Schizosaccharomyces pombe: one gene and its partner. The protein of the gene in region 2 interacts with the protein of the main gene of each other region in a biochemical or structural test. Each region holds a gene or a part of one and is shown on either strand. Other genes may lie near its edges.

Region 1 (3,760 bases), 1.9 Mb from region 2:
TTGATTAGAAATAGGATTTGAAGAGAACACAAGGCTATTTTTAGTTGACCATGAACTAGTTGCACGTGGAAGCATATCAATACAATTAAAGGCATTTTCAACTCTCGTCTGAGAAAAAATTCCATCTTTACTACAAGACCAGAGTAGCTCTGTAGAAGCCCAATGCATCGTTGAAACAATACTATCATGACAACTGACGGTTCTGTATGGGATATAAGGCCTAGTAATATCCCAAACATTTATTGCGGTATCACCTACAAGAGAAGAGCTTGCAAGTTGATTAGAACCTCTCGATTGCTGATTAGCCGGTCGCCAACGAACACAATTGAGGGGACTGACATTATTGATAGTTATAAGGGACTTTTTTTTGTTGCTTGTGGAATCCCAAATACGAATAGTCTTATCTCTCCCGCATGACGCTAAAAAAACACCATTAGGACTATAATTAACACACAAAACAACACCATTATGTGCAGCTAATTTTAAAAAAGGAAGTTTTGGAAACCGGATATCCCATTTTTGCAAGATCCCACTGTCATAAGCGGCAACGAACTCATTTGGCTCAGAAGGGGAGAATACGACGTCTCGAGCAGCTTCAGAATTTCCACGAAAAGTGATTGTTGATGAGCTTTCCTTGTAATCCCAAAGCTTAATTAACCCATCCTGAGAGGCTGTTAAAACGTAAGACGGGTGAAATGAAGAGATATCCAATTTATGTACGGCTCGAGAATGCTCATTAAAGTCATAGAGAAGGGCTTCTAAATTAACATCCCATACATTGAGATTACCAAGCGGTGAACATGTAAAAATTAAATTTGAAGCAAAACTACTACCCCACTTTACATCATTGCAAGAGATGTGCTTTGTTTGTGTTGATTTTTGTAGAAGGTCAGAGATGCAAACAGGAGGCTTTGAAGAGTTTGGATTAACAGCTAGAACTTTTAGAAGCTCTCGGCCTGCTACACCCACTTTTGTACGGCTTTTATTTACCGAAATAGCACTGATGGAGGCCTTTACATCAACAACCCAGTCTTGGTAACTAACAAGTCCTTTGGATGACTTTACAGATGTGCTAGCAAGTTGGGCATAAGTAGGTCGCTGAAGGACGTTTGAGTTTCGTGAAGGCATTTACGAATTTGAAAACAAAATGAAGCTGGTAGAGTAGCAGCTGATGCCTTCTAAAATGATTTAGGAAATTTGCATACAGAAAAGGAAACAAGTTCTTAAATATCGGACAGGAAGTCAAAGAAATTGCTGAAGTGAAATGCAAGTATGGTGACACTCACCGTACATTGGTAAAATTAACGTTGCAAGATCGTTCAATAGTAAAAGTCAGAAAAAAGTAGACTATTCTTTATCAAACTATTTGTTTTGATACATTAACCAAAAAGATAAAGTAGAAAAGTAGAGGAGCAACTAACAGTAAGAAAAGTTTCTGCTAATGTAAATATCAAGTCCAATGTTAGTGAACAAATAAGAGCTTTCGAATTTTCAATTATTGAGGAAATTCAATCAGAACAATTACACATCGGAAGTTTTCAAAAGAATAAAAGTTCAAATATAATTTATTTTTACGAAGTTCAGTTGCTTATTGCTTCTAGTAAGTTTGGTTTTGTGAATTTACTTCTGAATCTCGCTATGAATCAGCAATATTGCATCCTGTAACGCTATACTGCATTCCTGTAGAGTTCATTATATAGGTTTCACATTTTACTATGGCATTTGTCGCGTATACATGACTTATGATTTAAAATTTCGTTTACGCTGATTTACAACATTTAAAGAATGGTACTGTTGAGCTTATCTTTCAATGCTTCTTTCGTAGAGTTATAGTAGCTACAATATTAAATATGAAGATAACATGTTATATATGACGATATAAGTAAGCAAAGCCGGTCAGTCCAATGTCAGTTGCACAGTGTCAATCGAAAAAGCGGTTTGCAGTACCTTGTCGGTTTGTATTTTGTAATATAATGATGCTTTCGAAATTAAATAAACAAGTCTTCATTCCATAAACGAATTGTGAAGCAAAGTAATTCGACTCTACTTTATATAGTACTAATTAGTAAGAACAAATCATCAGTTTACCGTACAAGAGTTAGTTTGCTGATAAAGAGTTTACGCAGTCTACTGTACCTTAAACTCAGATACGAATTGCGTAGCTGGAGTTACGCTAAATGATCTATTAAGTCCAGTTGCTACACATTGAATTAAGATGGCACTCGTCAGGCTTATACGAAGCCGCTTTTCACTAACCACCTCTGAAAAACCAAACTGTCATTGGGCGTTCCGTGATATAATTTCTTGGAACTTTTCTTTATTTTTATTTAAATTTTCGTGAGAAATGACGTCTCAACTTGAAAAAGAAGCAAGAGAATGGATCGAAGAAACTTTGCATACGAAATTGAATGCTCAGTTAGACTTACTGGATCAATTACAATCCGGGGTGATTCTTTGCAGAATTTGCAAAGAAGCTTTAGGCGCTAACATTCGATACAAAGAATCTAACATGCCTTTTGTCCAAATGGAAAACATATCTGCCTTCATTAACTATGCACAGCAAGTTGTACATGTTCCTTCACAAGATATGTTTCAAACTTCTGATTTATTTGAGCGGAGAAATGATGAACAGGTTTTAAGAAGTATTCACTCCTTTTCGCGCTATGCCGCGAAAATGTTTCCCGGCAAAGTTCGTGGTTTGGGTCCTAAATTGGCAGAGAAGAAGCCTCGTGTTTTCTCAGCACAGCAGCAGCGTGAGTTTCGAGAAGGCGTAAATAGTCTTCAGTATGGAAGCTTTGATATGCCGACACAGGGAACCGAGAAGATTGCATTTTCTAGACGCAGGGACCCGACCGGAAATATGTATTAGTCTTGTGTAGGGAAAGAGATTGAAGATTGTATAACTTTATATCTTCGCTTCTTGTACTTTTTGATAACTTATTTATTTTCATTCATTCGTAAAATCTGCCGAATCCATAATAGGAGTGAAACGTGAGGTCTTGTAAAAGATGTGTATAAATATAGAAGCTTAAGTTTTGCTTTAAATATTCATAATGATATGTTTTTTTTACGACACTAAAACATAAATTGAATTATAGTTTGATTCGTAGTTTGAAAACACATTTAAAATCTTATGTTTGGTGCTGTATTGCTAGATTTCTCGTCGTATCAAATGACTTAAAAAAGCAATACGACAATTCATTGTTTCATGAGCGTTTCCTTACAAAGCTGCAGAGAAAAAAAAAAATGTTGCAAAAATTAGTTATGGAAGTATCAGTGATTAATAAAAATGCACACTTTATTTATTTATTTTGTTATTTTTGTATTCAATTTCTTAAATGATAAGCAGGTCGGTAAACGTATTTACAAATAGTTTTGTGAGATATTATAAAAAAAAAATGTATGTACATTGAAAATTGCAGAAATACTAGAGATGTTGTTAAAATTGTTTGCTTAAAATTTACTCAAGTCAGAAATTAAATAAAAATTTTAAAGCTTGTATACAAAAGAAAATGCTGGTAGACCAGTTTTGCAAGAAACAAAGTAGATAATAAAATTGCATGTATTGCATTTGTTTAGACATTAGTGTTATTAAAAGAAATCAAACAAATAAGTTTTTAAACATTTAAAGTGTAACAAATCAAACTCTTTTAGAGTAGCAAAAAACCAAGGCTACTGCCATTTCCACATCGCTAAGAGTCAATATAGAGGAAAAAACGTTTGTACATTTTCAAAGTTTATTCTTCCGACAACTTATCAC
Region 2 (3,873 bases):
CAGGGAAATTATGCGGAAAAGATTTGAGAAAGAAGCTGAAATGTCCGCGGAATTCAATTATCGGTTTTGTATTGGAGGCTGTGATAGATCCGCATATGTGCCTGTAGTAGCAGGTGGAAAAGTAAGTAATCAATTCCTGAAAATGCTGAATGCTATTACTTTAAGCTTTATTAACAAAGAAGAATGGCTTGACTATCCATTACACAATTAATAATGATATATTCCGTCCTGACGAAATGGTTTTGGTAGACGCTGGCGGTGTAAGTGCCTTCAATTTTTTGTCAATTAACACTTGCTTAACAGGAATTCGGTGGTTATGTAACAGATATCTCGAGGACTTGGCCCATCAACGGCAAATTTAGTACTGTACAAAGGGATTTATATCAAGCAGTTCTGAATGTGCAAAAGAAATGTATTAAGTATTGTTGCACCAGTAATGGCTGGAGCTTGGCTGATATTCACTTTGAAAGTGTTAAATTAATGCATGAAGAATTGAAGCAGGTCGGCATTCATGGAACTAAACGGGTAAGTTTGCTACTTCGCAAAATATTCGTACTAACTTCCTTGGCTATAGGAGATTACAGATATATTGTATCCGCATTCAATTGGGCATGAGATTGGACTAGAGATTCACGATTGTTCTACGAATAATGGTTACCAACCGTTGCGCAAAAACCAAGTTGTAAGTTGAAGTTCTTTTCAGATTATTTGCTAAACGGGGTTTAGATTACCATAGAACCCGGACTATATGTTCCAGAAGAAGACGGATGGCCTCAATGGGCTCAAGGAATAGCTATTCGAATTGAAGATAGCGTAATCGTTGGTGATGACAAGCCGTTCGTATTAACTAGTGCTGCTCCAAAAGAAATTGAAGAAATTGAAGCTTTGAAAAAGTAGAGATTGTGTTACCTATTGACTAAGAATTAGGACTACATCTGACTATCGTAGAATAAAAGACATTATTTTTGGACTAAGTTTCTTAGAAGTAAGATTGAAGGGAAAAAAATCTATATATACTGTTAAATTTTAATCATTACACGAATTTTTTTTTAATATTTTATTGAAAAGTCAACGTCAAAAATAAACATTAGTTTAGAGAAACAAGAAACGTTTTCAAAATAGTTCTGGCATTCGAAGTGTATGATTCCTCTGACTTCGACAGTATTTGCTCAATTCCTTGAAGACTTGACTCGATTTCCACTTTTCAGGTGCTTCCCTTTCTCCTGAACACCAGTATAGACTAAAAATTGGACGTTAAAATAGCGCACATTAAGTATATCAAGTTCATTTACTTACATATCCCAATCGGGCTCATCTAATAATTGATCATACTCTCGCAGAAGAGATACTGGATATTTATCAATCTGATCTTTGGCGAAATTAGATAAAAGCAAATCCGTTTCCAATATTCCCCGTTTTCTAGATTGATATTTAAGTCTTGCCAACATTGCGTCTCTAGTCTCGTAAGAGCGATTCACCCTTTTTAAATCACCTTTGGTATGCTCGAAGCGAAGTTGAGGCATTCTATTCATACATCTTGCACTTCTTAGAAGCGTCGTGATATTAGATAAGTTTGTCTTCCTTAACATTGTTGATATTTTCAAATGAACAACTAAGCGATTAACCAGACGACCTCCGAGGCTATATTTACTTATATATGAATAAAAAGAAAAAAAAATTAGGTTATAGCTCCTTTTTTTGGAAGATTTGGTAGACTATACAACTCTTTGGTGATAGTTTTGCGGCATTGTCTTCACCATCCGTATTCGTTTCTTACCATTCACCATTGTCCGCACCACATTATAGAAATTTCGAAAGATGGAAAAGGAGGCAATTTACAAACTCATTAGAGAATCTCCTCCAGGAGAAGTTAATCAAGTAGTTCATGGTTTGTTAAAGTGCTGAATACCTCAACATTCTAATGCATATAATAGATATACGCGACATCGGTCTAAGTGATGAGGAAGCAATTCACGAACAACTGAAGCTTTATCATGAAGACTACAACTCTTCTGTCAGCATATCGGATGACGAAAAAGTAATTATTTCAGCTGATAATCGTCTAGAGGGCAATCGCTATTATGATCAAGTTTTACAGAAATCATTTACCATTAATTATGAAACTATGGTAAGGTTAAATTTTTCAAATCTTTTTTTTGTGATAATTGTTAAATAGCTAACAGTATTCATAGGAAGCTGAAAACGTTGAAGATTATACCGAAGCCATAAAAATTCCCGATGAAATAGTAAAGCAAATTAAAAAGGTTGCTTCGGATCACTATCTATCTGATGTAACATTTGGAATCATCAAAAAAAGCGATGAAGTGGAATCGTTTACAATTGTTTTGGTTTCTTCAAAGTATAATCCCAAGAACTATTGGAACGGTTCGTGGCGCTGTATATGCAATTACAACGTTTCGGAAAAGAAACTGGAAGGCAGGTCGCATATTCGTGTTCATTACTATGAAGACGGAAATGTTTGGTTGGATGCATCCCGTCCTATTTCTGCTACAGTCGAGGAGACCAGTAAGCTTTATGAAGTGTTGGCTCAAGTCGAAAATGGAATTCAACAGTCCTTCAACGTTGAACTTTCTTCACTTAATGACAAAAAGTTTAAAGAATTGCGTCGTCAACTTCCAGTCACTCGCCAGAAAATTAATTGGGAAAACGTTAGTGGCATCCGTATGAGAAATACTTGAAACACTTATATGTGTTTATAAATTTTGGAAATTTTTTTGCGACGATATTTTTTAAGACGGTGATTCAAGCTGTTTCCTTTTCCTTCTTCCTAAATACATATACATTGTCGCTCGATATACGACTAATAATTACTAGTCGTTTACTTTCTAAAACTTTACAAGAGCAACTCACACGCTCTTTTCTTAAACTCTTATAAGTTTTAGGAAATTATTTTTTTACGATCAATAATACAAGTTCTTCATCATTTTTTTACCGCTCGTCACCAGTAATTTAAGGGCGTATTACTTTTTGTGTGTAAGCATCAGTCGTGCTATTTATCACCAGAATATGCTCTGAGCATCTGACTTTCACCTCTGACTTTGTGATAATATAAATAAATAATGAGGCATTATTAAATCACAAATCTTGTATCTCTAATTAACATTGATTTCATGGTTCAAGCAGCAATTAAAGCTTGAACTTGTGTAGACAGTTTGAGATAATATCACTTCTAAAATTAAACCCAAAAGTAGGTATTCCAACTAACTTATCGTTTTCTTCCGACAAGACTGGAATAGTAAACCTGATATGGCCCGGAACTTGTATACAAAATTTAAGAAACTCTTCCTTACTCAAAAATCCCTTCAATGAATTTAGATCTTTGGAAAGCAACGGTCTAAGTATAAGTGTAGTCTGTGTATTTTTGCAACTGTACTTTATCCAAAACCTGTGATCCCATAAAACATAACGATCAGGATTTATGGTTATAGTTTTTTTTTTCAATTCAGCTTTACTAAATGGTTGTCTGGAAATTTGGAGTTGTAATTTAGTGTCGTCCTTTATAGAAGAGGAAGTGAGTAGACATTTAGCAATTGTTAGCTTTTTTCCATCAAAAACTGAATTACAAAGGCTTACAACAGAAGATCGTTTAATCTGTCTGCAACTTGTAGTCAATGTTAGACACCTTAAGAGCAATTCTTCCTTAGTAAGATTAGAGTGCTTTTTGAGCTCATTTTTTGAAAAGCATAAAGATAATGTACCAGATGGCTGATGGTAGCTCACAATATTATCTTTTAGTATTTCATCAACTTTATTATCTATGTTCACCTGTAAGGACTGAAACGCGGTAGCTAGTTTTGTAGCCTCTACGGTCAATGCGGCATGTTGGTTTAGAAATCTTCGTATTGCATTTCG

What was found. The genes of interacting proteins can lie anywhere in the genome.
Region 1: the proteins of acp1 (region 2) and stg1 form a complex in vitro, tested with the Schizosaccharomyces pombe proteins (one study listed by BioGRID).

Annotation. Positions count from the first base shown.
Region 1 is NC_003424.3:2,659,457-2,663,216, forward strand, and holds stg1 (SM22/transgelin-like actin-modulating protein Stg1), read left to right. Parts: upstream 1-2,240; 5' UTR 2,241-2,344; coding exon 2,345-2,869; 3' UTR 2,870-3,079; downstream 3,080-3,760. Other genes in the region: SEACAT complex subunit Sea2, read right to left, coding at 1-1,128. UniProt on the Schizosaccharomyces pombe protein: Has actin-binding and actin-bundling activity and is a component of the actin patch. Stabilizes actin filaments against disassembly. Cross-links F-actin and is required for the formation of the contractile F-actin ring.
Region 2 is NC_003424.3:4,583,437-4,587,309, forward strand, and holds acp1 (F-actin-capping protein alpha subunit), read left to right. Parts: upstream 1-1,778; 5' UTR 1,779-1,818; coding exon 1,819-1,888; intron 1,889-1,934; coding exon 1,935-2,128; intron 2,129-2,192; coding exon 2,193-2,699; 3' UTR 2,700-3,100; downstream 3,101-3,873. Other genes in the region: peptidase Icp55, read left to right, coding at 1-121, 183-260, 304-525, 575-682, 727-897; succinate dehydrogenase subunit Emi5, read right to left, coding at 1,114-1,240, 1,297-1,589; til1 (tRNA(Ile)-lysidine synthetase family protein), read right to left, coding at 3,148-3,873. UniProt on the Schizosaccharomyces pombe protein: F-actin-capping proteins bind in a Ca(2+)-independent manner to the fast growing ends of actin filaments (barbed end) thereby blocking the exchange of subunits at these ends.